Alligator mississippiensis: one gene and its partners. The protein of the gene in region 2 interacts with the protein of the main gene of each other region in a biochemical or structural test. Links are inferred from orthologs where the notes say so. Each region holds a gene or a part of one and is shown on either strand. Other genes may lie near its edges. The genes, in order: LAT, PLCG1, KIT and SOS1.

Region 1 (6,932 bases), on a different chromosome or scaffold from region 2:
TCTCGTAGCTGGGCACACTGTCTGGAGGGGAGCAGAGGCAGGCGGTCAGGGGTGCCCACATCCGCCTCTCTGCTCCTTCATCCCAGGGTGAACCCAGTTGTGCCGCCACCCCGCCACATTCGTCTGTCCCACCCCGTACCGCGGGGCAACTCCAATTATCCCCCTACCCGCCTGTCTGCTCCTCCATCCCAGGGTGAGCCCAGTTGTGCCCCTGCCCACGTCCATCTGTCCAGCCCTCAACCCCAGGGCAGCTCCAGTTACCTGCCTCCCCGTGTCCATCTATCCGGCCCCTTCCCCTGGGGTTAGCTCCCATCCCTGCACCCTGTCCGCCTCTCTGGCCCAGGTGACCCAGTGGGGGGGAGCGGCACTCACCATTGTCGGGTTCAGGTCGGGCCACTGACGCCGTGCGGCTTGGAGGGGCCTGAGGCGAGCGCCTGGGGGGCAGGAGGGGCCGGTGATGCACAGAGCACAGGGCCCCCAAAGGCCACAGCACCCCCGCCCCAGCCTGGGGACCCTCGAGGGGTCAACCCCCGAAGCAGGAGGGAGGTGGGCAGCCCCGTGGAGGGCCCGCTGGCAGGTTGGGGGGGGGCGGCACTCAAGGCCACTTACGGGATGGAGAGGAACTGCTCCGTGGGGGTGACGGGCTGCTGGCGGATCTGGTTGCGGGGGGCACCTGGGGGGGGGGCAAGGGGTGAGGAGAGGTGTCTGGGGAGTGGGGGGGGGGAGCAGGGGCTGAGCGTTACTCACAGCTGCTGCGGCTCAGCAGGATGAAGCTGTTCTGGGGGGCGCAGGGGGCTGGGGGCCTGCAGGGAGGGGGAGACACCGTAAGACCCCCCCCAGTACAGCCCCCCACCCCCCTAAACCTGCACAGTCAGATGTGGACAGACAGACTCACTTGTACTCGTAGTCACCAATGGCCTCTGGACCTGAGGGGAGGGGAAATTGGGGGTGGCGTTCAGGGCAGCCTGGGGGCCCCTCCACCCAGCCTCAGAGAAGGAGAGCCCGCACACCTGGGTCCTCTGCCTAGCACAATGGATGCCGGGGTTCTGCGCCCAGCTCGGGGTGGGAGCCGCGGGGGGGTCAGGCACTCACCACGTGGGGACCGCCGCGGACAGTGGGCGCAGAGCAGGGCAGCCACAGGGGGCAGCAGCGCCAGGACCCCGAGCGCCAGCAACGCCGGCTCCATCCTCCTGCACGGTGGGGACCAGGTGTCAGGGACCCCCTGCCGCACCCGGACACCTGGGCTCTCCATGTGCAACCGGGGATCCAGTGCCATACAGCGGGGGCGGGGGAGCCTGGGGCCCACCCAGCCCTGAGAGCGCGGGGCTCGGACGCGTGGGTTCCCCACGCTCCGGGAAGGGGAGTAGGGTCCAGGGGCTTAGAGCAGAAGAGCCGGGCCGCCTGGGGTCTCTACCTGCTCCAGGAAGGGGATCAGGGTCCGAGGGGTTCGAGCAGGGGGCCCGGGCGCCTGGGTTCGACCCAGTACAAGGCCCGGACGCCTGGATTCACTTCCGCGTTTGCTGGCTTCAAACGGGGGTGGGGGGGGTTGGGAGCCCGGATGCTCGGGTTCACTCCCAGGCCAGGTGGGTTAAAGCACATGGTGGCCTGGGCTCTTCCCCAGGCAGGCCACGTAGGTGCCACCCAGATGCCTGAGTGCCACCGAAGACCGGGAGGGGAGCAACCTGGCAGGGAAGCCCAGATGCCTGGGGTCTCCCCAGCACCAGGAGAGCAGGCCCGGCAGGCCGCTGTACACGGGGCCGGAGCTGGCTCAGAGGAGGGGAGGTTGGGGGCCCGGTGGGTGACAGCAAGTAGCACCTGGGTTCTCCTCCAGGCCTTTTAGGTTCAAACGTGGAGGCCTGGGGCGCCCGGCCGCCTGGGGTCTCCTCCAGCTTTGCTGGCTCAGGAAGGGGCAGGGTTGGCGCTCAGACCCCTGGGCTCTTACCGCCCCAGGAGATTAAAGCTCGTAGGAGCCAGGCACCAGGCCTCGTAAGGTGGGACCAGGACCGGGGGTGGGCTGAGAGCTGGGTTCTCCAGCAGGGGAGGAGTGCGGCACTGACTCGTGGGGGGGCAGGTGCTGTGGGCGTCTCGGCTCCGTCTCAGCGCTGCGGTTTGCACGCGGGACCCGGGCGCAGCAAAGCAGCTGCAGCCCTTCCCCCCGCGGGGCCCAGCCCAGCCCGGCTGAGCTGGGGAAATGGAGGGGGGGCACAGTACTGGCGCGCAGGCTGACAAGCCCCTCGGGGCGCCCTGCTCCCCCCAGAACCCAGGCGCCCCAGCCCGCCCGATCCAGCTGAGCAGCCAAGGGTAACGACCACAAACCGCACTGGGGATGCGGCCAAGGGGACGGGGCGGCGCGGGTGCAGAGTGAGGGGCACCGCCCTGGGCTGACAGGGGTGCTGCCAGTCAGGAGTGAGGGGCACCGTGGCAAGAGGGGGCAAGAGGGGCACTGCCAGGGAGCGACGGGGAGAGGAGTCAGGCAGGGAACTGCCGGAGGAGGTGACGGGGTGGGGCTGCAGACCAGGAGCGAGGGGCGCCGCCACGGGGCAATGAGAGGGGGCCGTGGGTCGGACGGGGTGCTGTGGGGCAGGAGTGAGGGGCACTGCTGTGGCACACAGCGGGCTCGTGCATGGGGAGGGACACCACCAGGGGGAAAATGGGGGGGGTGCACGTGAGGAGCATGTTGGAGCAACAAAGGGGGTTGCAGGTCAGGAGTGAGGGGCACGACCATGGGGCAGGGACACCCCCCAAAATGGTTAGGAGCCCAGGTGTCCGGGGGCTGTCCCCGCCCCCACGCCCTCGCCCTGAGGCACGTGGCCACATCCGCACGTCCAGCCAGCGTGGGGGCAGGACATACGCCACCACTGGCTTCCTGCCCACTGGGCCGGCCTGAAGGGCCATGGTTTCAGGGTCCCCCCGCCCTGGGACCTACCTGGGGCCGGCGCGGTGGCTCCGTCAGTGCAGCCTGGCTGCCGCGAGGCTCTGCCTGCCCCCCCCACTCCCCTCCCCCCGCCCCCCATCCTGCCCCTCCCCCGCAGCACAGGAAGCTGCGGCGGGAGACTGAGGCTGGGCAGGAAGTTGTTCACTGCAGGCGGGGGCACGCACACCCCTGCCCAGAGAAGCCAGGCGTCCGGGCTCCCAGGCCCCCAACACAGACCACACCTGGGACCCATTAGGAAGCCTTTAATGAGGTGCAAAGACAGCGGTATGGGGATGGCTTCCCACACTGCAATAGGGCAACTAGACCCCCCCCACCTGGGAAGGCACAGCCTGAGCCCCGCCACCACTGCAGGGAAGCCTGGCACCCCAATCCCCCGGCGGGGCAGGCTGTGCTGGCTGGGGGCTGGCACTGGTCACGCCCCAGTCTGGCCCTGCAGGGGTAAAACCCCTTGTCCGTCCATCCATCTGTCCATCCATTTGCGGCCATGGGCGCAGGGAACAGCCACTCTCTCCTGTCCCTTCTGCGCGGGGGGGGCAGCTTCCATCCCGGCTGCGTGGCTACGGTTGTGTCCCGCCCTTGCATGGCTCTGGGGGCGCTCTGGTCCCTGTGCCCCGGGCGCAGCTCCGGGGTCTGAGGGGCTCAAATGAGGACGCTGGAGACAGGCAGCTGGGCTGCGCGCCCCCCCCGCGGCACTACAATGCGCTCGGACGCTGCTCCGGGGCTCCCCCCAGCCTCCGCCAGCAGCCCTGCAGTGGGGAGAGAGGCAGAGAAAGGTTAATAGCGGGTGGGGGCAGAGAGGAGCCAGATGTCTGGGCTCTTTGTCCCACACCCAGCCTAGGGTGCAAACAAGTGAGCAAGTAAGAGCCCCAGGGCAGGTGGAAGCAGAGACACTAGAGGCCCAGACACCTGGGAGCAAATGGGTCGGGGCTGGGAGCCCGGACGCCTGCGTTCCCTCCGGTAGGTGCAAGCCAGGGGAGTGGGAAGCCCAACGCCTGCGTCCCCGGACCATCCCGGCAGCTCCGAGCAGGGCTGGGGGTGGTCTCAGGGTGCTACACTGGGGCTGTGCTGAGCCTGCGGAGGGCTGTGAGGGTCCACAGGGCCGTGCTGGGGCTCAGAGGGTCGTGGGGGCCATGTTGGTCTGGGAGTCATGCTGGCATCTAGGAGAGGCTCAGAGACTGTGCTAGGTCTTAGGGGCCTGCGTTGGCCCGAGGGCCGTGCTCGAGTCTGGAAAGATCTGATGGCTGTGCTGTGCTGGGGTCTGTTGGTCATGGGGGCCGTACTGGGCCGGGGGACAGTGGGGCAGACTCACCCTGTGCCTGCAGGTGGGCACGGCGCCGGTCAGCAGGCAGCACGAGGGCGGTGGCGAGGAAGAAGCCGCCTCCGAGGGCTCCCACGAAGGCACAGAGCGTCAGCGCATAGCCCAGGCTGCGGAAGGCCCACAGTGGGGTGGGGGGCCGGTGCCGGCGCACCGCGTCACTCATCTGTGGGGGGCACACGGCTGGGACCAGGCATCTGGGCACCCGCAGGGAACAGCAGCATCCTGGTTCCCAGCCCTCACGCCCTGCCCACGGATCCCAGGTGTCCCGGCCCCCCATGCCCAGCCCCTAGCCCTCACTCCCCTCCCAGGAAACCCAGGCATCCAGGCTCCCTGCCTGGCCCCCATGTTGGGGGGGGGGGGTGGTATCTCACCACCCCGACGAGGTAGGGGCTCCCAGCATCTCCCAGCAGGTGGGACATGACGATCTGCAGTGCCTCGGCCGTCGACCGCCGCGTTGGCACCACCACATACTGCCAGGGTCAGACCACAGGTTAGAGGTCGGGGGCAGCCCTGGGATCTGACCCCTCGCCCCCACCACAGCCCAGCCAGGGGGAATCAGGCACTGGGTGGCCGGACGCCTGGGTTCTCTCCCGAGTTTGCTGGTTTAGAAGGGAGGGTGGGGGGTGTTGAGGTCCCAGATGCCTGGGTTCCACCTGGTGCTACCCCTCCCCTCAGCCCAGGCACCTGGGTCCCCCTCAGCCCCCACTCACCAGGAGGATGTCAGCAACGAGGGCCCAGTTCAGGGACAGCAGCGTCTCCCCAATGAAGATGAACACCTAGGCAGCAAGGGGTGGTGAACCTGTGACCCTGGGCACAGCCCCCAACACCCGGCCGGGCCCTGGCCCACCCTCCCTGTACTCCCACACCAGCCCGGCGGCCCCGACTCACGTAAGTGACAGGGATGCTGGCACGGGCCAGGGCCACAGCCAGGAAGAGGCAGGGTGCAGCGCCTAGCAGCCCAATGGCACACACCAGGGGGTCGGCGCGGGAAGAGCGGAGCCGCAGCCGACGTGACAGCTCCACGCCTGCCCCCACGCCCAGCACCCCCGTCACGCAGGTCACTGCCCCGAACACTAGGCTGCAGGCACAGGGCATGGGTCAGGGGGCGTCGGGCCCAGAGGCACATAACAAGCATCTCACACTCACACACACACACACACACACACACACACAGCCAGGGGTCACGGGTTTAAGCTCTGGCACTGTAAAGGTGCCATGGGTCAGAAACCAAGCACCTCGCACAGACATCAAAGATCAAAGTTCATGAACTTTACATGCACGACAAAGGCTCTTCACACATGGCAAAAAACAAGATCACGCGTTGGGCACCTTGCACACATGCAAAGGGGCCAACATCAGAGATCAGGCAGCTCACAGGCAGGCCGGAGGTCACAGGACACACGTCACACACAGAGTTAAAAGTCAGAGGTCAAAGCTCAAACATCTCCCACACACCAGCACACAAACCAAGCGCTGCACATGTGCCAGGAAAGCACAGACCACAGCCCAGGCTCCTCGCACACACACCAGGGGTCAGTGCCTGACCTGTCGTCAGCGGGCGGTGCGCCGGCAGCCAGCCGGGCACGCTGCAGGAAGGCTGGGGCCCAGAGCGCCAGGGCCCCTGTCACGAAGGCCACAGCCGTGAAGCCCAGCGAGGACAGCACGAAGCTCCGGCTGAAACACACGGGGGTAGTAAGACCCAGCTCCAGCCCCCACCACCCCGGGCCCTCCCCCAGCCACACACTCACTTGCGTGCCAGGGCTCGCACGTCGTCACACCAGGAGGTGTAGTGGAGTGGGGAGGGGGGGCCGTGGCGCTCCACGGCCCCCCGTGGCGGCTCCTTCATCACCAGCAGCAGCAGCACCACTGCCACCACTCCCAGCCCAGGGGTCACCTGTGGGAGGGAGGGGGTGGGGTCAGGCCTGAGGCCCCGCCTACCCTGCCCTGATGGGCCTTTGCTCCTCCCACTAGTCTTAGGCCCTGCTCCTAACACCCAGGCCCCACCCCCTGCAGCATAAATCTCACCCCTAGGGCTGCCCCACCCTTGCTTCATGCCAGGGGGAGAGGGTACAACGCTGCCTCCGCACCGCCCCAGCTCACCCTAAGCGCCCAGTGCCAGTCGTGCATGACATCCTTCACCTTGGAGCCTGCCATGTAGCCTAGGCCGCTGCAGTGGAAGGAGGCAGGGGGGGTCAGTGACAGCCCCACGGTGCCCCCGCCCCCACCCTGTCCCAGCCAGGCCCCTGCCTGACCTGCCCACAGGGATGGCGAAGTAGAAGAACCCGAGCATGCGGCTGCGGCGGTCGCCCACGAAGAGGTCGGCGATGATGGTGGGGGCCACGGTGGAGTAGCTTGCCTCCCCCACCCCCACCAGCCCCCGTGTCAGCAGCAGCAGCCAGAAGTGCTGGGAAGACGCAGGGGCGGGCACAGTCAGTGCTGGGGGGTACATCCCACCCGTACTCCCCGAAAGCGGGTGCCCCCCTGCACCAACCTGCCGGGGCACAAAGCTGCTGGCAAGGGTGACAGTCGACCAGAGGGCGATGCCCACGCAGAGCAGGAGGCGGCGGGAGCTGCGGTCCCCCAGGAACCCGAACAACGGCGCCAGCACCATGTAGCTGCTGATGAACACTGCGGGGCGCGGGGGTGTGAGCGGGCGCGGGAGGGGCGCAGCCCTGCCCT
Region 2 (7,588 bases):
AAAGCAATATTCCAATGGACCCTGAGTCTTCTCTGTGCACACAAGCAAAGTCTGTCTGAATTTAAAGATGCAGGACAGAAAACAATTAAGTGTTTCAGTTGCATAGCTACGTGCAAGAGTCATCATCACTGCATAAATAAGGAAGGAAACAGAAGTTGACTCGGCTGGCACCTGCTCAAATTTGAGCAGTGGCAGCAGAGAGAATCAGGTTAGCCAAGGAGTAATGTAGGTTTTATGCAACGTGTTTTATACCAAAGCATGACCCAGGTGCTGCTGCTGATAATAATAATACTGGGTGCTATTTATCACTAGACCTGGAAGTGCTTCAAAAAGCAAGTGTCCCTGCTTGACAATGGAGAAACTGAGGGTCAGGGCAGGGAGCAGCCTCAGTAGCCCAAAAGCAAAGCTAGGAAAGGAAAGCTGGTCTCCTGAGTCTGTCCAGTACTCTAATCATTAGGCTGCACACAACTGCACTAGAGGTGTTGTCCCAGACCTCCAGGATAAAACTCAGCAGGTATTTAAGAGTTCCCAGCAATGCTGCATGAGAGCTGAGGTGTAACAAGAGCTACTGGCTGTAAGCTGACACTAGACAAGCTTAGGCTAGAAATGCTGTTCAGGGAGCCAGGAGGCCTGGATTTGATCAACTGGGGAGGCTTTCTTTGAAGATATCTTGCAGGTACTTCTAAAAGTAATAGCCTGCAAGAAATGGATTCTAGCTGTAGGCCTGCCCTGGAGAGGATATGGGTTGAAATTTTCCATGCTTAGGTTCAGCCCAAAGGCATTTATGTACTTGTATACATATTCAAGTATGTTTACACATGTTCATGCACACATGCCTTATGATGGTTTCACTGTGCAGCGCTGTCCATCTCCATTGCACTGCTTGTCCCTCTCTATAGAGAAAGCACCATCTGTTAGCTGCACACAAGTAACTGATGGAGATGGACTATACAAATATGTAATTTAAAGCATTCAGAAGATGTAAATTCAGTGCTTCTAAAGATGTCCTGTGAAACATGGAAAATGAGTTGTACATGGATGGCTTGCGGAGGAAGCTTTTATTTCAAGAGAATTTCTGCCTATATTTGATATAAGCTTAGAGATAACATGAGTGTTTAAAGCTGGTCTCGTTGGGAATTTCAGAGGCACGTCTATCTCAGCTGTTAATCAAAGAGTTGGAGGTGCTGAATATTTCAGAGAGTGCTCTCTTCCATCTGTTAGGCATTGACATTAAATAGGCATAGATGAAAACATGTTTTAAAACAGTCCAGATAAATCAGGTATCATTTCATTGGTATCTGTAATATCATAATCCTACCAGACAATTTTCTGGGTTAGCAAAGCCCTGAATGTTATGATCTAATGCATAAAAGAAAAGAAAAGGAAGGAAGGAAAAACACAACCATTAGGACTGTCATGCATAATGAAAGAAGCAAAAGGAACAAATAATTTCCCTTGAAGGTCACTCTGATTAGCTGCATCTTATCAATTTATTGCCCCCTGACTACAGTAGAAATATAGAGCTTAGTCTTGTAATAAGCACCCATGCAAATTATCCTACTGTAGAATGAGCCCACTCCTTTGAGTCATGTCTACCTGCGTGATTAAGGACTGTATGACAGTGGCTAAGTAGATGGCATCTGTCAGCTTGAGGGGTCTTGCAGTGAGAACTATGACCCATAACATCCCTGCAAGGCAGGTGCTGAGGACAGTGGACCTTGCCTCTTTCTGTGACTTCAGCACCTCACTCAGGGTTACTATGGGGAAACTCTGGTGTCCAGCTGGGCTCTGCTGCCCAGAGCCTTCTCTTGACAATGGGCACCTACAATTTGTTTGAAAAAACAGCAAGGCTTTCTCTGTCTTGCAAAAACAAGATGGGTTGTGTCCCGTCCCCTGGCCCCTGCCTTATATAATAGCCTGGTGGTTAAGGAACTTGGAAGCCAGAGGCCCAGATACTAATTCCCTGTTGAAGCTGTGCCTGAATTCCACAAAAGTCCCAATTTAGGTTCCTAAGACCTTCTTTTTGTGTCTTAGTTTTTTACATGGCCCTTTAGCTTCGTCAGCAGAGCACTCAGGGGATGGGGATCCAGGGTTCTGGTTCCTTTTCCCAGGACCGTTTCAGTATTTTTACCCAACTACTGTTTAGTGCAAACTAAAGTCCTGCTCACTCTTACACACTTCCGCTGGCCAAATTTGTCCTGCATTCCCTTCTGCAATATAAGAGCAGGGGTGGGGTGAAGAGTGTCCCCATCCAGAATGGTGCTCAGCCTGGTGATTTGGGACACGAGCAAGATGGTGGTTTGAATTCCCTCAGGCTGGGGGGTGGATTTCCACTTCTCTCTCTCACTTCCTGGCCTTAAGCACTAAGGTACTATCTAAAAAGGGAATTAGATAGGAAAAAGAGTGATGGTCATGCCTACGTTTTTGTGAGGCACTTGATCCCGTCAGTGTGTGCTAGGCAAGGTACCAGATTCCACCCCTTAGTCAAGATGGCAACAGAATGCCCTGTCCAGGGGTCCCAACCTGGCGGAGGTGTGCGCTGGGCTGAGCTGCTCAGCCGGGGACAGTTGTGGGCATGTGCAGAGGCACAGATCTAGGTGCCTGAGGAGGTTTCAGGACCAAAGGAGAGATGCCCGTGTGCACTTTAGTTGCTTCCAGGATTCGGTGGCAGCTGAGCAGGAGGCTTCAGGGTTCTGTGCTTGGACTTAATCATGTTTCAGACATCGGAGACCCTGGGTTCAGACCTTGCATAAGGTCTGTCAGGGGTCAGCCAAGTGAATATTATTTCACAGTTATGTTCATTTCACCCTCAGTCCTGCATTGAAACAGTTAGATTCTCAGCGATGCTTTTACCTGCGTCTTGAAGTTTGTACAGAGATGCTCTGTCTTTCCTGAGTACTTAACCTGTTTCCTCTGCCACTAAACCTTATCTCCTCCTGAACACGTGGCCCTTGTGGGTAACTTCATGTCACTTTAAGTAGTTGTAGACAGCACCCTGCTGCTTTTGCTGGTAAGCACTTTGTGCATTTTTAAAACAAACCGCATGTGCCTGGCTCCTGACTTCTAGCTGCAAGAGCAATTGCCTATGCAAAATGTATGTCTGACTGGGCATGAAAATGCCATGACTGGATGCACATATTAGCTCATTTTATGCATGCAACATTTCTGGATATTTGCATGTGCAATAAGCAGATTCATGTATCCACTTGTGAGCATGCAGGCCAAAGGAAGAGATTTCCTGTGGAGCAAGGAGGGAGAAATATCTGCCTGGGTCATGGAGCAGCAGTGGAGTTTCTCCTTGGTCACCTCTGCAGGCTCAGGGCTGCAAGAGTTCAAGCATGTGCTGGCATAGCCAAGCAGTTGTGATATCCCACTTGATGCACCATATTCAGGCACTGACAACACTTTTAATCAGAGCAAAAAGCCTTAAACCTAGAGGCTAATGAAATAGCCTGGCCTAATGTCCTGAAGCGATGGGGTGGGAGTAGGGGAGAAGGGAAAATGAGAGGGGGGTAGCTTTGGGAGAAAGCTAGGGGGAAACTACTCCAAATCAACTTCTTATTCATCTACTAAGCCTCCCTTAGTTTACTTTCCTGTCTGGCTGGGTGTAGCATTGCAGCACTGGCCCCATACTACCAGAATCTAACAGAGCTGGCATGAAAGGAGATGATTCTCCCCTTCCCCAGAATGAGAAAATGGAGCTTGGCATGCAAAGCCTGCTCTTTCCAGGTAGGTGTTAATGGGCATGGTGGGAGTTTTCAGCAGAGGAAAGAACAGATGGGGAGAAGGGCCTTTTGGTTAAGGCATTGGGCTGTGCTTCAGGAGAGCTGGGTTCAGTTCTTGTTCTGCCACAGATTCGCTGTCTAACCTTGGTGGAGTCGCTTAATCTTGCCATCTTTTGCTTTTCTGTTGTCAAAATGGAGACAATATCGTCTTCCTCCCTCCTCCCGTCTTCTGCGTTTCCTGAGCTGCTGGGAGCAGGGAGCGTCCTTTGTGTGTCTGGACAGCCCCTAGCACAGGGAGGCTTCAGGCTTGCCAGGACCTTTGTGTGTTACTGTCATGCTATTAATGGCTAAGAGCAACACAGGCTCTCAGCCAGTCCCCCTGGACCTATGGTAATCAGGTTTCTTCTGCCCAGCATGTCTTTATAGGTTGTAACATGACTCCTGAAGCAGTCCTCCCTGGTGAGCCATCCTGTCTGCCTTCGAAGTACGGATTTTACTTCTGTCCTAACTAAAAGCAGGCCCTGCTCCAGCTCGGGACTACTTTGTGATGACATCACCCCCCCGCGTGGCAGGATACACAGGTGGGGAGCCGCGGCGGGTGTCACAATGCGTGGGGCAGCAAGCGCTCGCCCCTGGGGCTCGAGGGGCGCGCCGGCCCTTCCCCCGGTGCGGGGCTGGGGAGCCCGCGGGGCCCCGCGCAGGGCATGGGCATGGGCATGGCCAGCCCGACCCGAGCCGTCCCGCCCGTCTCCCGCGCTCGCTTCCACCCCAGCTGCTGCTGCTGCGGGAGAGATGATTTATGAGGAGGAAGCTGCCTTGATCTGCAGCTGGAAGAGGTGGAGCCATCGGGGACTGGAGCCATGGGGCTGGCATGAGCCGCCAGCCCCGTGCCGAGGCCCGACTAATAAATCATGCTCAACCCCCGGCTCTCGGCAGCACTGCTCGCCCGAGCCCCGCCGGCGTGACGGCAGCGGAGGGGAAAGGGGACCCCCCGGTACCCGCCTTGTCCCCCGCCCCTGCAGATGCTTCGTGCCCGGGCCGCGGGGCAGCTCCGCGCGGCGGGCACACGGTAACCGCGGGTGCGGCCGGGCGGAGGAAGGGGCTGGGGGCAGCTCCTCGTCCTCGCTGGCCCCGCTTTGTGCTGAACGCCGGCTGGGGGAAGGGCGCCCCTCCGAGCCCCCGCCGTTGCAGGATGCACGAGAGCGGGGAGGCAGATCACGCCGGGTAGTTTCAAATCAGTGGGTCGAAAACATGTAGATGCATTTGGGCTGGCCCGGAGCTACAGGTCTGCCCGGGCTCCGCTCCCGCCGCACGTGCTGCGCGGGCCGGGCGCTGCCGGGGGACGGGGACGGGGGCGCGGAGCGGAGCCGGCTGCAGCGCTTCAGCCATGACTTGCAGAGCTCTCCCGAGATCTTATCGGGCTGCGATCGATGCGGGCGGGGGCGGAGGCGGAGGCGGGGGGAGCGAGGCAGGCACCGCTGGCCCCGAACAAAAGGGAGAGGTTTGCTACGAAGTCGCCTCCCTCTTTCCTCCCCCCCTTTCTCTTTGCAACCCAATCTTTCTGGAGGACCCAGTCCCGCTCCTAATCACTCAGGAATGCTTTGTGTCTGCCTGCTTTCGCTTTAGGCTCCGTCGGGAAGGAGGAGGGGGGAAAAAAAATGGTGCATGATTCAAACCAGCAGAGAGGCGATTTTTTGCTGCAGTCCTGGAGTGAAAAGTTTCGATGCGGGAGACGATCGCTCGGGCTGGGCTCCCCCCTCTAAGCCCTCGGATCTAAACACGGCTTCTTTCCCCCCTCTCGTAGGAAGGGGAAGACTCTTGTGCTGGGAGCCATGAGCTTGGATTGGTTTTATTGAAGTCTGCCAAGTTGCAGCCGGGAGCCTGAAGATCCGTGTTGCCTGGACACTTCTCTGCTTTGGGGGAAGCAGAGGAGGGAGCCATGGCGTCCGGCTTCTCCAATGGACCCTGCATGCAGAACGAAGCCGAGGTGGTTCACCTCTGCCGGAGCTTGGAAGTTGGCACTGTGATGACTTTGTTTTACTCGAAAAAATCCCAGAGACCAGAGAGGAAAACTTTCCAGGTGAAGCTAGAAACCAGACAGATCACCTGGAGCAGAGGCTCGGAGAAGATAGAAGGAGCAAGTAAGTGTGGATTTGTAACAACAGTGGGGAAGGCAACTTTTGATTAGAGCTGATTCCCCACACATCAGACTGTCCGGGTTGATGGGCAAGTTTTCTTGAGCATTGGAATCTGCCTTGCTGTGACAGCCCGGGTGTTTTGTCTAAAGGGGGAAATTTTGCAACACAGATGCAGTAATTGGCAAGTTTTTCTAAGCCGAGTAACCTTTTCTCTCTCTCTCTTAATGGCCTGAAATGTTTATCCTGTGTTGAGTGGTGTGGCAAAGGCAGAGCTGCACTAATCCTTGAATGTACATTTCAGATTGTGTGAATTTTCAATCTAGCTTGAGATCTGGGCCTCTGGCCAGTCCAGAATAACTCTTAATCGTTTTTGTGATAAACACCTTCCTTTCTTCTAGGAAGAGGCCCATCTTTGTTTCTCACCTGACCATTCATCCCATTCACCCTGGAGTTTTTTTCCCTCCACCCTCAGAAGCTCCTAAAACCTGCAAGAAAAGCCAGCCTTCCCATTCCTTGATTTAAAAACTAATCATATTTTGAGCCCATTTTTGCTTCTGTGATGGAGCTGACCTGGGTATTCATCATCTGCTTTCATGTATGTGAAGAAGAGATTGAAGTGAAGTTTTTGATTGTTGTGTTTCACAAGTGCTAATTGACAGGAGTGCATGAGCCAGAGTGGAGTCTTTGGGACTAAACTTTGGTCCTTCAGACCCTTCTGCTCTGGGGAATTCAACCCTCTTTGGTGCCTGGGTTAGCTAAGTTAAATGAGAATCACAATACTTTAATGGGTTACCTTCTAGGTATACAAGCTTACCTATTCTTCATCACCTGTTGAAGGGCACAGCTGCCTAGCTACTTAGAAATGAAGTCCACAGACAAGTTACCATCTACCTTAAAGTTGGTCATTATTTGGCTGCTTTGTTTTTTGTAGAATTCAAAGTTTAACGTAGAATTGATAGCTTTGGCCTTGAGCTCAGTAATTGCAATGAGCTCAGAAGATGAAGCAGTGGATGGCTTGAGATTATAATTTCTTAACCTATATGGCACCGAAATCAACTGTGTGGGTAGTGATTCCTCTGCTGACTTCCATTTTCCTTGAGCTTAATACCAGTTTGCAAAACAAGAAATCTTATCTATCAGATAAGTCATTAGTGACCAATTTATCAGCCTCCAGAGGCTAGACAGATGTTTTCACAGCTGGGTGGTGGGTTGATAAAATATAATCCTCTTGTAAACCATGCTCAATGCACTGAGCACCAATGTAATTATAAATATAGTTATAGCTAATTCTCTTACATTTGCACTGAATGTTTAGGGGCTATACTCTAGTGTGAAGTTGGTGCTAGAGAGAAGGTTTCCAGCCCTAGGTTCAGTTTGGGGTTCACTCTTTGTGCCTTTCTTTACACTGTTTACAATAGTTGTTTTAATTAAAAAACTGAGCATTAATATTGAATTTTAAAGGAGGGACTCTTGCCCATGTCTCCTTCATGCTTCCAAACCTGAGAATTGGTAAGGTATTTAGTTGCATCCCTGAGACCACTCTGTCTATAATTTGGTCATTATTTGATCAATTTGCTTGGCTCCAAAGTGAAAATGGGTGCTCTAGTAATTCATAAATTGGATGCTTATAAATAACTATATGCAGTTTTGTAAAGTATCTAAGAATGCTCTTGTGGTAGGATAAAATTGGAGTCTGCAATTTTTTTCCCATAGTGTCCTCACTAT
Region 3 (7,031 bases), on a different chromosome or scaffold from region 2:
TCTGAGCATGCACCAGAGGTGTAGGGAGGGAGGGAGAAAATGAGAGGAGATTCAAGAACACCTCACAAACCTCACAAAAAAGAGCAAGCTACAAAATGGAGGAAAAGAAAAAGGTGACAGCATAGTGAGATGCAAGGGACAAGGTGTAAATGGCTTAGTTTGACAAGAGAAACTGTATTATAGTTCATGATACCAATTCATTCTTTAACTGCAATAGAGACAGGCATTAAGGAAACAAATGCCTGACCTACTTACATTAGATCTAATGTAAATGTGTATATGACTATATGGAAATAATTATACTTTTGCCCAAAGATACATGTCTTTACTACAGAGAGACTTACACACTAGACTGTTCATTTCTCATTGGTATGAGCAAATCCATCTAAGGTTGCCATTCAAGGTGAGTGCAAGTAAACCTTGTACTTTCTATGTTAGAGCCTGGATCTGGTGACCTTTAGGGCATGTCACAAGACAGACCTGTTTTCTCAGGCTTTTCCTGAGGAAGGGGAGGGCTAATTGGAAGACGGGAGACAACCAGCAGACTGCATAAGGGGCTGGGACAAGAAATGGCATCTGGAGGTAAGAGATCTTGAGGGAAGTCAAGCATAGCTGCCTTTTATATACCTTGTAAGAAATTTGAGGGAGTAAAATCTTGTAAGAGAGTTGTTTGTTCATTTTTGTAGCTCCTTTGACCTGTTGCTTAATTTGTTCAGGGAACACAGTGCAACTCTGAGCAGGTTTTATATATGCACATGTGTTTTATCCATCTTTTAACTGAAAGTATATATCACAATATATATCACAGACTATCATGAAATAAAACAGGAGTCCATGTTTATGCATCCATTCTTACCCCATCTCTCATCCCACAATAAAATGCTTGCAAACATACAAAACCAACTACTGCAGCTACCAGAGTTATTTTATTAGGTTTATTTACTGCCAATATATGAAACCTGTGGCTAAAAATTCTACTACACTCCCCCTGTTCCTGAAATAGTTATTTGAAAACCTCTGCTCCAAGGAGTTGAGAGTAAGAGCCACCACCTTTCATTTAACATCACCGTTCATTGCTTTCCTTCATCTTTAGATGCATCTAAAATAGTAATGCAAGTATTTTTAAGGAATCACGTTACCATTTTTGGTGCAAACAGTGGGCCAAATTTATTCCCAGGTGGGAGTAATTCCTCAAATATTAATGCCCGGCTCTCATAATACTGCAGTGCACCTTGAGACCTACAAGTGAAAAGAGCTAAAAAAGTTTTGACTAGGTGATCCTCTAGGGGACTGTAGATGACCCTTTCACCCTCATCTTCAAATGATTATTTTTCTTTTATAGGTGGAGAAACTGAGAATGAAAGCAACCTTCTGCAAAAATCATGCAGCAGGCTATTGCTGGTACAGAATAAAAGTCTGTATCATTACAATTATACCAGAGACAAAACTGGTTCACTAACGCCTCCTGTTCTCTTCCTTCACTAAGGAATTTGAGGAGGGAAAGGTGAATGTCAGCCCAACAGATCAACATTATGGGTGCAAAGGTGTTATTAGTGGCTTGGACTGATTTTGTCATCGTCTGACCTCCTATGCAATCAACAGGTAGACTGCAGTGATATCATGCTTAAGCTGTTAAGAGACTGATTCTGCAACCTTTCTTCATACCGATTCTCCTTCACGAGCCGTCTCAGTGACATCTGCAGGACTGCTCAGAGGAATGCAGAACTCAAAGCCAATACATACATATATGTACAAATAAAAGTCCAACTAAATTAAACAGCCCGTCAGGCCAGCGGGAGTAAAGCGCAACCGTTTCTACAGCCAACAGGTCCACAGAAGATAGTGATGTGACTTAGCATCACATGACTCAGACGACTCACCCTGAACAACTAGGGACCGTTTACAGCTGGATCAACTTGTGGGCAGCCTTTGAGGGGCCTTTGAAGCCAAGCTCCTACACACGCATCTGGCCCCAGAGCACGATGCCTTTGTTACTCCCCAAGTGCAACTGTTTCAAGCCCATCACCATTCCCGACCCAGCCACCCAAAGAAAAGATGGCAACGCAGCGGTGACGGTGAGCGGACCCCGTCTGGCAACCCTCCCTATGCAAGCACAGCGGCTGTCCCTTGGGACCATTCTTGGTTGCACCCTCAACGGGGCTAAAAAACCCATAAGAATAAGGACAACTCCTTTAAAAACCAGCAGCGTGGGGCACTTTCACCAGAAAAGACCAGCTGCCAAGCAGTGTCTCTCTATCACCAAGCCTGCAAGCTCCTGGTGTGGGGACACGCTGCGGGGAGCCAGGACAAGTGACAGCCAAGATCTGGCTAGGGATGGTCCTGCCTCAGGCAGGGGAGTGCACTAGATGGCCTCTGCCAGCCCTCCTAGCCCTTGTGGCCCCGGGAAGGAGCACAGCCACCCCGAGGGGGATGTTTCCGCCCTGCCGGGGTGGGGGGGCCCGCGGGGACACTTGATCTCCTTGTTCCCGGCGCTATCATTCACTGGACACCGGCGCTTTGTGCCCACGAGCCGCGCGGGGAGCGACACAACAACCCCCGCCCCCAGCCAAGGCTGGTCCCGAGGAGCCCCCGACCGGCTGGCTCATGCCCCCCGGGCCGGCCGCGCTCCAGCCTGCAGTGGCGCCAAGGGCCGGGCCGAGGACCCCGGGGCTCCCTCCCCGGGCTGGGAGCGGGGAAAGTTGCGGCGCACCCGCTCCTGCCTCCCTGCACGCCCCACGCGGAGGCTCCCCGAGAGCGCAGCCAAGCTGGCGAGCCGGGACCCGGCGTGAGGGTCGCACCTGTTGGAAAGCGCAGCAGGAGCACCACCAGCAGCAGCAGCCGTGCGAGCCCCCGGGCAGGGAGCGCGCCCTCCATAACGCCCGTCCCGCGCTCAGCCTCGCCGCGGGTCCCCAGCGCCCGCACGGACAGGCGCCTCCACGGGCAGTTGTCGGAGTACAACAAACACCACCTGCTCCTGCTCCTGCTCCTGCTCCTCCTCCTCCAGCTCCAGCCCCGCCTCCGCACCTCCTCCCGCGACCCCGCCCTGCTGCCGGATTGTCTCGGGGCTGCCGGGCTGGCTTTGCGCTCCCCCCCACCTCACGTTTAAATTGAGTTTAGCAACTCTTTGCCCACACCGCCGATGGCGGCAGTGGAGGATCTGGCGTGGAAAATTCTTCACAAATCATTGGCAGACAAGATTTTTTGGGTAAATCCAGTATCTTTTACTGGAGTGCAACACCCTTGGTCAGACAAGAGGGCATGTGCGCTCTACTTGGATGGAGCAGTCATTGGCGTTTCTTTTGAGGAAGAGCAGTGGTTCTCAATCTGTGGTCCAGGGACCCCTGGGAGGGGGTATCCCCTGACTATGTCTAAGGGATTCCCAACAGATTACTGTGATCAGTCATAAGTATGAGAATACCCACACAAGTCAGAGGCGTCCGCAATTTCCAAAGGGGTTCACATAAAAAAAGGTTGTAAACCACTGAGCTAGAGGAAAGGCCGCATTCCCCACCACCAAGGTGCAGTTAGCACAGGGGTGAGCAAAATACGGCCCGGGGGCTGGATGCGGCCAGCCAAGCCACTCTATCCGGTCCGCGGGGCCCCTAAAAAATGTAGAAAATTAATATTAATCTGCCCTGGGCTGCCTGTCATGCGGCCCTCGATGGCTTTCCGAAACTCAGTAAGTGGCCCTCTGCCCAAAATCATTGCTCTCCCGAATTAGCAACTACTGATCTGGTGAGGTGATCCCACAACTGCAAGAGGCAGCATGTTGGTCCTAGGATGTGTTGTTCAAATCCTCAAATACTAGGGAGTGGGATCAGATTCCCGGGCAGAGAAGGCTTAAAACCTGCACAGCAGCTGGGTGAAACCCTTCTCCAGGCAACCCTTGCAATGGGAGGTCAGAGTAGGATTGGGCTGAGGGAAGGAGGGAAGAAAAAAGAAAACAATAGCTGCAGTTTACTTCATTTGCAAGAAATAAAACCTGATGTGAGGATTCTGGGATGCGGTAATAGGAGTATGTCCAGGTAAGACATCATAAAGTCAGACTCCCAACTTCTGAGGCCTCAGCTGAGGTACAGTGTCCAGCTCACAACACTGCCCTTCCAGATGTAGACATATTGGGAGGAGCTCAGGATGATTAGAGGCTTAGCAAATGTGACTTTCATGGAAAGGCTGAAGAAAATGGGTTTATTTAGATCAAAACAGAGAAGATTGAGGGGGGACTGAATACAGTCGTAGTCAAAATATGTAAAAGGCTGTTAAAAAAGGGATAGTTTTCAATTCTCAGGAAATATGGTCATTTTAGCTTAATTTCGACAAGAGAGATTTAGCATAGATGGAAAAACTTTTAGCTAGGAAGATAGATAAGAAGTGAAACAGGCTAACTACAGAGTCCCTGTAAGTAAAATAGGTGAAAGCCCCTCTAGATGTTCAGGCAAAGGCATGGTAGTATCTGCTGAGCAATCCATATAATTGCACCTCCTGCCATGCCACACATGTATGGCAGGAGGCATGCTTGTGGGATCTAGCAGCAGAACCTCTCATGCCTTACTGCTGGTACAGGGGGATCCTGTGATCACCATTCCGGTCTGCACCAGCAAGCAACACTCTCCCATAAGTGTGAGTCCCATGGCTTCTGGGGCTGAGGGTCCCGCAGCTACCACAAGGTCTGCAGGGACTCAAAGTCTGAAGCTATGGAGCACTGCTGGGCAGCAGAGTCTCATCAGCTGTGGGACTCTCCATGCTGGCATCTGTGGAACTGCTGGGGCTGTGAGTCCCCTCAGCTGCAGGACTCCCAGCTCTGGCTGTGTATGGTCCACCCCTCTGGCTGGGAGCCACATCAGCTAATATGGCTCCTAGCCACAGGGGCAGACCCTGCTACTGAAATTGCAAACTGAAGCTGGATACAAACCGGCTATAAAGTTATTACACATTTTCCAGCAACAACTTTATAGCTGATTGGACTTTTTTAGGGTGAGCTAGTTAATTTGTACAGGTAGCCAGTCTAAATTGTACAATTAACTGGGTAATTGTGTGATACATACATATAGAGGGAGCCTAGTTAGACAAATATTAGTCAGGGTTGATCTAGATATACTTGTTCCTGCTTGGGGAGGAGTGCTGAACTCAGATCTCATCCAGGCATACCTTTCTATGATTTCCATGATTCCATAGCTTGCAATCAAATACTTTTGACTAAGATGAAAGGGGAAAAAAGAAGGGAGATAACTCTTTTGAGAAAGAATTACAATGTATAATTATGTAAACATCTTGCATATATAATTATATATTCATAAATATTGGAATTTTGGCTTATATATTAATTAGCATCCATAGAAATATACATAAATCTATACTTAGCAGCAAGAATGAAATTGCATATCATTCAGAGATAATATAGTATATGTCCTACCTTTCATATCGGGGTGGGCAACATTTTGGAGTGGGGGGCTTAGCTCTGACAGCAGGTAGCTTCCCACCCAGCCTGCACTGCCACTGCTGCAGCTGCAGTCACTACTCCTGTCCCTGCAGTACCATCACCATAGCTTCTCTTTGCTGCCCAGCTGCTGCACAGGCAAAGCCCCCAGCCACCAAATCCCTGCACAGAAGCTCCCCTTATGCCAAAACACAGCAAAAGCCCCTCATGTCTACAAACCAGATGCAGTGGTTCTGCGGGCCATAGGCTGCTGACCCCAGTTTTATACGCTGTTGGTTGTCAGTCATTTTCTTAAACTGCTGGGGTGAAAGCACATTACAGCATGTGACTCTAGACGTATGAGTTCCTATATGCATTCAAAGAATAAATTCCTACCAGATAGCTGAAAGAATGCAGTGCTAGATAGGAAGACACAATTAAAGAGTGTTAAAGAAAACTGTCAAGGAAAAGAAAGCTTGTTTGTTGTTTGCATAAGGATTTAGAGCAAGAGAGAGGACAAAACTTTCAATAGTGAGATGCAACCAGAATAAATGTAGACTTTTTCAAGTGTGTCAGTAAAGATCAGAAAAGCTACTGAAAGCAATATATTATTTTTTAATTTTTGTTCACCATTGTCAGATTTCTCCAAGGTTAATAGCATTGTCCCATATGGTCCAACATTAGATGAAAGTCTTGTGTGGAATGTTTAAAATGGCTCTCACCATTTCTCTGCTCTCTTTCATCTTAGACAGCTAGTCTCTTTTGATGGGTGGTTCCCTCCTTTGCCTGAAAAGTAGCATGCAGTTTTATTTTTTAATAGTACATACACAGTTTTTTTCTCAAATAGCATTCCTTAAAATAACATTTATTACTAGGGGTCAGCCTCACAAAATTAATATTGGAAAGTGACAAAAGAAATCTTAAGAGATGTTTCTTTGTTTTAAATATTTTTGGGAGTGTCTTTGTTTCTTCAGAAATTCTTATAGTGCTTTTGGGTACTTCTTGCTTAATTTGTTCAAGATGCAATTGGTATAAAATGCATCATATAAAGATCTCAGAAAAAAGTTCTCAAGGGTTCATTCTGACAGGTTTCTCCCCATTCCTCTTCTATTGTCAGTCTTATGTCAGTTATGGGCACTGACTTTATTTTGGGTCCTGAACAGCAACAAGTAGACAGGGTCCAATTCAGCATGGCCTTATGCTTTGGACAGTCATTTACACAAACATAAAGCCACCACCAAATCAGAATGGTAACACTCCATGTTTCTGCTGCATTGCTGTAAATGGCCAGAGCAAGAGCAGGTCAAGGAATTGGACCCATAGTTACCAAGTATAATGGAATAATAATGATGAATGAATGTGCCTACTTCTTCTACCTCTGTTCTCATTATTGGATTTCATACACGTTTCATAGTTTCATAGTAGTTAGGGGTCAGAAGAGACATGAATAGATCATCTAGTCTAACCCCCCCGCCACTGGCTGGAGCACATGCTGGGATCACACAACCCCGGACAGGTGTTCATCCAAATTCCTCTTGAATTTACCCAAGGTAGGAGCAAGGACCACTTCCCTAGGAAGTTGGTTCCAGATCCTGGCTACCCTGACAGTGAAATA
Region 4 (7,906 bases), on a different chromosome or scaffold from region 2:
CATCCAAGTTACTCTTCTCTTGGTCCTGAACATGCCCATTTTCATCAAGTTCTTCAGCGAGCAGTGACATTCCGAGTCAGCTCACTAAGGGTGCTTGTAGATGTGCAGGACGCCTGCTCTGACACGCTGCAATTACAGCACGTCAGAGCAAACTCGATTAATGGAGTCTGCTGGAGCATGCTAATTACCACGCTCCAGCAGCCTCGGCATCTCATGTATTCGGCACCCCTGCACTTCAAAATAGTGGCGGCGGTACTTTAACTAAAGCTCATCAAACAAGCTTTACTTAAAGCACCACCCCCACCACCATTTTGAAGCACCTGCGCTGAATACATGAGACACGGTGGGTGCTTCAATTAAAGCCCTCTCCCTCCACACCAACCCCCAGAGCAGGTATAAAGATGCCTTAAGTGACTTGCCCACCAGGACAGAAATTAACAACTTCACAGATTCTGCAATTGATGTATGCAATTTCAAAGAGCAGTTTTATTCTGGTTCATACTATCAAAACTAGGGGTGCTCCGATAAAGATTTTTTGGGTCAATACCAATGGCTAATTATTAACGAGCCACATCAGCTGATACGGATGCGACTGCCGATATGCAACCCAGCAGCTTGGACAGCAGCATATGACTAGTAAGTCTGTTGGTGGGAAGGGGTATGGGGGACATATTGAGGACCCCTGCAGTGGGGGAGGGAGTGGGAATGGGGCTGGGCAGGGGCTGTCCAGCCAGGACAAGGCACAGGACAGAGCTGTGCGCGGCTCATCTGGAGGGTATGGCAGGGGCGGGTGTGGCAGGGGCCGGGCTGCTCATGCCACAGCACACGTGCCCGAAGGAGGCATGGGAGTGTGTGCCCCCTGGATCTGTGCGCGTGGTGATAGTGGGCTGCTGCTGTGGGCTGGAGGAAGCTCCAGGCTCTTCCTAGCAGGGGTGCTGGGTTGGGGCTGCGCTTGGGACAAATGGTGGTGGCAGCCCTGGGAGGAGGGGCTGCAGCAAATTTTGGGGTGGCCTGCAGTCCACCCTGTAGCCCCCCCATTTCAGCACCACCCCCCACCCCAAGTGCAACTCCAGCCCAACCCCACCGCTGGGAAGAGCCTGGCTCAACCCCAGACCGCAGCAGGCAGCCCGCCCTCGCCCCACACACACATCTGTGGGGCACGTGCCCCCCGTGCCTTTCCCTGGGGTGCATGCTGCCCCTGCCCCAGCCCCACACCCTCCCTCGCTGTGGGGGCCTTGATAAGCTCCCCCGCATACCTCTTCCCCACCCCCCAACAGACTTACCAGCCAGACACTACTCTCCAAGCTGTCAGGCTGGCCGTGTGCATGCTACTGCTGTGCCCATGCATGCGCCATTTATCGGAGACATTATTGACCACATCACACAAAGAAAGTCGATTGCCATTAATGTCAATTTTCCTTTTGTTGGTGCTGATACAACATGGACCGATATACTGGTGCACCTCTAATCAAAACCTGTTCTATTCCCAGACTACTTAGCCCTGTGTTGAGTTCCCAGCACAGCAAACCCTGAGCACAGCACAGAACAGTGAGCCAAATCCGCAAGCTGCAACTGGCCTGCAACTCACAAGCAGGCTTCAGTTACCTTGATGCTTGAGCATCCCAAGGCATTGAAAGCCTCAGGGATTTGGGTAGTTAACCCAAAAGTTATTTTTTTCTCAGAAACAGGTAATGATCACTTACTGTACCAGCAAGTGCTGGGGTCAGGAAAGACCTGCTCCTTGATACAAACGCACAGAGTCCTTGGATGAACATGCTGTGAAACATGAAACAATGCATTGCAAGAGAAAATTGGGAAGGTGAGCTGAATCAATGCAGTTGAAATACTTGGGATACCCAGTCCATGCTGTGGAGTGCCCCCAGTTCAGCCACATTAAGGAAGTTTGCATCCACTGGTACAATCAGTATACCAGCATCAATGGCTGCTACATGTTGAGTGCAAGGTGTTGATTAAGTGTTGGATATAAAACCACTTCAGAAAACAGTTTCTGGAAAGCCTCGTTCTTATTTGCTACAGGCAGAAGTCAGAAGTGAGCAGCCCTGACCCATTTCCCCCACACCAATGCCAGTATCAGGAGCAAGTGAGACTTACTCTCCTGCCCTCGATTCAGGTTTCTTCGCAAAACAAAGCTCTAAAACAGTGGTGCCCAACCTTTTTTATCTGCAACCCGCTGCTGGGAGCAGACTGCGGCGTTAGCAGCCTGGGGGAGCTCCTGACATGCGGCGCGGCTCATGTTTTGTGTGCAGCGCTGCCGGCATTGCCCCCGCGACACTAATTTGGGTCGCAACCCGGGGCTGGGAACCGCCGCTCTAAAAAGAGGCCAAATGAAACCAGAGTTTGTGGGCAGGCACCTCTCACTGAAGCAGAAGCTTCTGCAGGACAGGCTTGTACCTTAGCCACCAGTGTTTCGCAAACCACGCTGTGTGCAAGCCTGGGGCTCTGCCACGGGTCCCTGGCAGCTCCTCCGAGACGCTGGGGTGGGCGGGGGGCGGGTGTCTGTGCACGTGTCTCTCTGTGCTTGTGCGCCACACACAACACGCCCCGCGCACACACACACACACACACGGGGCCCTGCCCCGCACCTGTGGAGCCCGCCCCGCCATGGGGAGTGCGGCCCGAAGACCCCGGTCGCCGCTCACCTTCTTGAGCGCGGGCACGAGCAGCCCCCGCCACTTGGGCGCGCTGTCCTCGCTGCACAGCTCGTGGAACAGCGGCGGCACCTGCATCCTGCCGCCGGGCCGGGGGGGCGGGGCGGGCTCAGCGCGGGGCCAGCGGCTCCCGGCGGCGGCCGCTCTGGGCGCCGGGCGGCGGCGGCGGCATCCCCCCGCGGCCCCGGCCTGGCCTCAGCACCCGCCGCCCTACCCCGCCGGCCGCGCTGGCATGGCCGGGCCCGGCCCGGGGGCGCAGCGCGGGGCGCGGGACCGGCGCGGGGGGCGGGGCTTGTGCCGGGACCCGAGCACGGCTGCAGCTCCGGGGGCTCTTCCCGTGCCCGGACGGTTACTCCGCAGGGCGCATGCGCGGCAGGGCGACACTGAACCCCCTCCCTCCCCCAGGGCGCATGCGCCGTGCCTGTGCGCCCAACAGCCGCCAGGTCAGATGCGGACGTCAAAGGGAAGCGAGTGGCCAGGCCAGCTCAGCCGAGCGCCGAACGCCTCGCTGGGCGATCGGCGGAGGGGGCTCCGCAGCGCCCCCTGCGGCAGGGAGGAGCCCACAGGGACAGCCGTGGCGGGCGCTGGCGCGAGGCCTGCCCTCCCCGCCCTGCACAGCGCGCAGTGTATTGGCTACCGCGCTTGTACCATAGCTTCCGCCTTCGTTCGATGCCTGACCAATAATGACTAATTATTAATTAATTATTAATGAATGATTTGATTAATAATATTAATAATTTGACTGACAGTAATAATACGATTAATATTAATTGGTTAACAATATGAATACATTGATTAATAAGATTAATGATATTTAATTGATTGATGGTAGTAATACATTGATTGATTAATAATGCCTAAGCAATAATGAACCTTGTCTACCTATGCCCTTAGACCACGGGTGGGCAAAATATGGCCTGCCAGCCCATTCTGTCCCGCCTGCAGGTCCCCTAAAATGTTTTTAAAAATTAATATTTATCTGCCTGTCATGCGGCCCTCAATGACTTGCCAAAACTCAGTAAGCACCCCTCTGCCCAAATTGCCTGCCCCTGCCTTAGACCAACAGGGCTACAACCTACACCCCTGAAAGCACCAATGCTAAACATGTTCAAAGTGTAGAAAAGTTTTTGAGACAGCTCATTGATGCAGCTTATGCAAAAACCACATCACTTTCAGGGAGTCAGCTGACTTTGGTTTGCTGTCAGTGCTTTCTTATGATGGTTTGCCTCAAAATAAAGAAATGCTTCCACTTGGATGACCCAGTTCTCTCTCACTCACTGCTGGTTTCTAGCGAGCAATGTAAAGTAAATAAGAAAAAGATTTATTTGCACAGTTATCTTTTCAGTCTTCAGTAGTTTTTCAGCAAATACAATAATTTTGAGCTTCCAATACTATAATTTCATGGTTAAGACCTGGCAATGCTGACAGCACTCATTCTCACGGGCCCAGCACTAAGCCCACGCACAGCAGCTCCCAGCTGCAGGGGCAGCAGCCCAGGGCAGGGAGCCTGGGAGTCCACCTCAGCACAGGCCATGTCCCCAGACAGGGGGCTAGCCCTCCTGAAGCAGCTGGCCAGCAAGCACACAGGGTGGGCCCACTCTTCTCCTGGGATGTCAGGCCAAACTAGGGCTGAGGACAGTGGGTGATCTTGAGCCAGCAGGTTCACTGTCCTGAGCCTCATCTATCCTGTCTCTCCCTTTACCTATCTGTCCCATGGGCATGGTGCTGCTACGCTGCCTTGAAGGGCATGGAGGTCCACTGGTGAAAAATCGCCCAGTCTGATGTGCACAATGGGGTAACAGCCTTTCCCCATTTCCCACTGTGAGGGCAAAGATGTTGAGGACTGGTGGTAATAGTGAGATTCATGTCACTGGCCCTAGCCACCAGCCTTCCCCTGGTACCTGTTGCTAGGAAACAGTTCCTGTCACCACCCACCAGTGGCTCCCAAATTATCAGTGCCTGACTGTGACATGCTTCCACCCACCATCACCAGCCATGGCAGTGCCTCACAGGTAACTGACAGCCTTCCACCTTCTCCTGGGGCACATCTACCCTGCAGCAGGAGAATGATTGGTCTCACCCACCCACTCCATCTGCATTACCCTAGCATGGAGTTGCTGAGGACAACCTCAGATACCCCAGTGCCATGCTCAAGACCTAGATTTTCAGCATGCTCAAGAAGAGCCACTTAGGGCACCACTTTGTTTCTGAGTTGATGCCTGTAATGTGGGAGTGGGTGGGCAACGTTATTGCCGCTTCAACCAGGCTAAGTTTTCTGCTACCATGCTGTACACAAGTGTCAAAGGCCTCCACACCACAATGTTTCACCAAGTATTCACCATTTTCTTGTAGGCTTATTGAATGGCAGAAGGAAGATTTGTATGGTGATGTCTATTCTTAAACCATCTCTAGAGTTGGGAGAGAGATTAGATAGGCTTTTGGGCACAAAATGTCCCTCCTCAAATGGCAGGCAGTGGGTGAAAATGTCCTTTATCTGTCACTACGTGCAAGCAAGTAACAAGGATGCACAAGTTGACCACCTACTACCTGCTGTCTTCAGTGGACAAGAGTTGTCAAGCATCATTGCCCACCAGGAATTGTCACCAGTTGAGAAGCTGACATGCTGTTACCAAACCTTAAAATTGCACCATGGGCAAAAATGTCACCATACAGCACGCTACCACAAGGTAGCAATCATGTGGGTCTACATGTGATTGGTAGCTACATTGCTGTAGCGGTGCACTCCCCTGTTTTAGATTGCCATTATGTGGATGTAGCAGCAAAATGTGTGAGTTGCACACATGGCGCAGTGCAGGCAGTTACTGCACCATGCTTTAGTACTTCCAAAAGGAAGTACTAAAGCATGGAAACGTAACAACATTTCTGTACAGCCATGTGTAGACATGCCCCATGTGTCTCACAACACTTGGTCATTTTTCTTAAAGCTCCACCTGTGGGAATTGAATGATGAGGAATCTCATTTTTCATTCTTGCAAGTTTCTAAACCTCAAGATGCCTGAGGAAAGCTAAGAATATGATGCAAGTGACCCCAACAGGCAAAGAGGAAAAACCCACCAATTATTATTTTGTAGCATGTTATGACTCAAAGCTCCTAATATTTTAACAGCAGCAAAAGCCCAAGTCCAGATGAAAATCCCAGTGAGCAGAAATCCAAATAGAGGTAAATATTTTCTCAAAGCCATTCTCTCTGTGGCAAACACCTCTCAGGGCTCTTTGTTGGCCCCCTTCTTTTTCCAGTGGTAATACAGTAGAACCTGGACCATTCATATCCAGGCGGTTTACAACTTGCTTACACAGCAGTGGGTTGTCCAATAAAGGATACGCCATTCAGCTGATTGCTGCTGCTTTTACTCAAGGGGCACCACTTCTCTACACAGCTGGAGCACATCAGCAGGCCCATGAAACTTTTTGCTCTAGCTCTGAACCATCCTCTATGCAGTGAGGTTAGGGATGTGATCCTGTGAAGTGTCTGGGTTCTACTGTAAAGCACCTCCTTTGATAATCCCTCAAAATCACTGGGGCCTCCCTGACCCCCATCATCCCGGCTACAAGTCCTACTGTTCCCTTGCCCTACTTATTTGTAGTCCCTTACAAATAAGTAAACACTTATTTGTAGACTAAAAGCAGCATCCAGGTAGTGCTGGACCTAGAACCTGCCTCAAAAGGACAGCACAGCTTCATTCATCTCTGACTGATACCAGTTGCCATTACCATATACAGGCTGCCAGGAAACATGTCCGTCACCAAGCACTGGCAGTGGCAAGTAGTTTTCAGTGGGCCACCTGGTTTCAAGCAAGAACATGTTTAGTCAAAACATGACTTTCAGCTTCTTCACCCGGCTCCCTCCCAAAAATACATAATAATAACGTTGACTTTTTAATTTGCTAAATTTTTGCAGTGTTTTCAATCTTAAATTTTAATATTTTTACCAAAAATGTTATGAAAGCCATTATTTGTTTTTCACTGATCCAACACCCAGTTGGTGGCAAATGTAACATTTAAATCAGGACTTCGACAACATTTTCAATTCCAATCCCTACTTAAAAAAATTTAAAAGGGTCCATTTCAAACCTTGTAAACTCGCCTTCAATATCTGACTGTAGTTTTTGCAGATATTTTTATCTGCTCCAGCCCATAAATGTCACCACTGGCTATGAAATATCAGGACTTGCAATCCTGAAATGGGGTATAACACCTGGCAGAGGTACTGATCTACAGATGCTAAGACGACACAAATGCTAAGTTCAGGAGGAGTGCTAGGATGCAATAAGTTAATTGGCCTGAGTCAGAATCAGCTTGAGCAAAATAGCTTCCTCCAGAAACCAGCAGGAAACAGTATATGGAGAAAGGAGGGAAAGGCTGCATTAGTGAGTCCTGCTGAAGAGGCTTTCAGGAGAGGCAGGCTGCCTTAAGAGGTATCTCTCTGAGCCAGCTAGTTCTTTCAAACCCCTAATGAAAGGGTGTTTGAGGCACCTTATCATAGATATCATAGAGAAGTAGGGCTGGAAGGACCTCAAGAGGTCATCTAGGTCAACTTCCTGCCTGAGTCAGGACAAGTCTTGTGTCCTATACAGAGACCAAAACTGTGACCTTGGCATTTTTAGCACCACACTCTAACCAATTGAGTTATTGCCTCCCAGCCTTGAGACAGAGGGACTGGAGTCATGCTTGCTTCCAGACTGAAGAATCTGCATAAGCCCCACCAGAAAGAGAAGGAAAGATACCATTTTGTTTTAGAATGTCCCTTATAGTAACCAGGGTCTGGGCAGAAGGGGAGGGTCACTTTATATGCAGGTGAAGTCCAAGGACTTGGTTCCCAGGGATGTCTGGTGAACCAGAAACTGGTGCTGAGGTCAGAGTAAGCCAGGAATCAGAACCAGAATCAGAAGCCAGAGCCAGGTCAGGGTATGCCAGAGCTGTAGTAGAGCTTTGCCAAGGCACAGACCTGGAGTCAGAGTGCACCAGGAATCAGAACTGGAGTCAGGAGCCAAAACCCAGCCAGGATGAGCCAAGAGTCAGGGCCAGAGATCTGAAAAGTAAACAAGAAAGTTCAGGAGTAAGTGCCCAGACAAAGTATACTACATGCTGGGCCTAGCTTTTAAAACCTACATAGGGTGGGGTCTACTGCCTGTGGCTTTAGAGTATTGGCTGTTTTTATTGCCCCATTAGGACCAGCTTGGCCTAGGGTTCTGATCCAGGCTTGCCCCAGGGCATCT

The links.
Region 1: the proteins of PLCG1 (region 2) and LAT form a complex in vitro, tested with the Homo sapiens proteins (2 studies listed by BioGRID and IntAct, with this or other methods). The link is inferred for Alligator mississippiensis from reciprocal best matches to the Homo sapiens genes PLCG1 and LAT.
Region 3: the proteins of PLCG1 (region 2) and KIT form a complex in vitro, tested with the Homo sapiens proteins (3 studies listed by BioGRID and IntAct, with this or other methods). The link is inferred for Alligator mississippiensis from reciprocal best matches to the Homo sapiens genes PLCG1 and KIT.
Region 4: the proteins of PLCG1 (region 2) and SOS1 form a complex in vitro, tested with the Homo sapiens proteins (2 studies listed by BioGRID and IntAct, with this or other methods). The link is inferred for Alligator mississippiensis from reciprocal best matches to the Homo sapiens genes PLCG1 and SOS1.

Annotation. Positions count from the first base shown.
Region 1 is NC_081830.1:220,761-227,692, forward strand, and holds the start of LAT (linker for activation of T-cells family member 1), read right to left. Parts: upstream 3,007-6,932; 5' UTR 2,927-3,006; intron 1,191-2,926; 5' UTR 1,187-1,190; coding exon 1,093-1,186; intron 927-1,092; coding exon 896-926; intron 804-895; coding exon 748-803; intron 674-747; coding exon 610-673; intron 435-609; coding exon 373-434; intron 22-372; coding exon 1-21. Other genes in the region: SPNS1 (protein spinster homolog 1), read right to left, coding at 3,575-3,681, 4,245-4,416, 4,625-4,723, 4,964-5,029, 5,142-5,331, 5,799-5,927, 6,002-6,147, 6,354-6,420 and 2 more. UniProt on the Homo sapiens protein: Required for TCR (T-cell antigen receptor)- and pre-TCR-mediated signaling, both in mature T-cells and during their development.
Region 2 is NC_081832.1:17,809,594-17,817,181, reverse strand, and holds the start of PLCG1 (1-phosphatidylinositol 4,5-bisphosphate phosphodiesterase gamma-1), read left to right. Parts: upstream 1-4,573; 5' UTR 4,574-4,794; intron 4,795-5,240; exon of another isoform or gene 5,241-5,529; 5' UTR 5,530-5,664; coding exon 5,665-5,866; intron 5,867-7,588. UniProt on the Homo sapiens protein: Mediates the production of the second messenger molecules diacylglycerol (DAG) and inositol 1,4,5-trisphosphate (IP3). Plays an important role in the regulation of intracellular signaling cascades.
Region 3 is NC_081825.1:59,920,774-59,927,804, reverse strand, and holds the start of KIT (mast/stem cell growth factor receptor Kit), read right to left. Parts: upstream 3,011-7,031; 5' UTR 2,875-3,010; coding exon 2,799-2,874; intron 1-2,798. UniProt on the Homo sapiens protein: Tyrosine-protein kinase that acts as a cell-surface receptor for the cytokine KITLG/SCF and plays an essential role in the regulation of cell survival and proliferation, hematopoiesis, stem cell maintenance, gametogenesis, mast cell development, migration and function, and in melanogenesis.
Region 4 is NC_081824.1:236,139,494-236,147,399, reverse strand, and holds the start of SOS1 (son of sevenless homolog 1), read right to left. Parts: upstream 3,011-7,906; 5' UTR 2,748-3,010; coding exon 2,661-2,747; intron 1-2,660.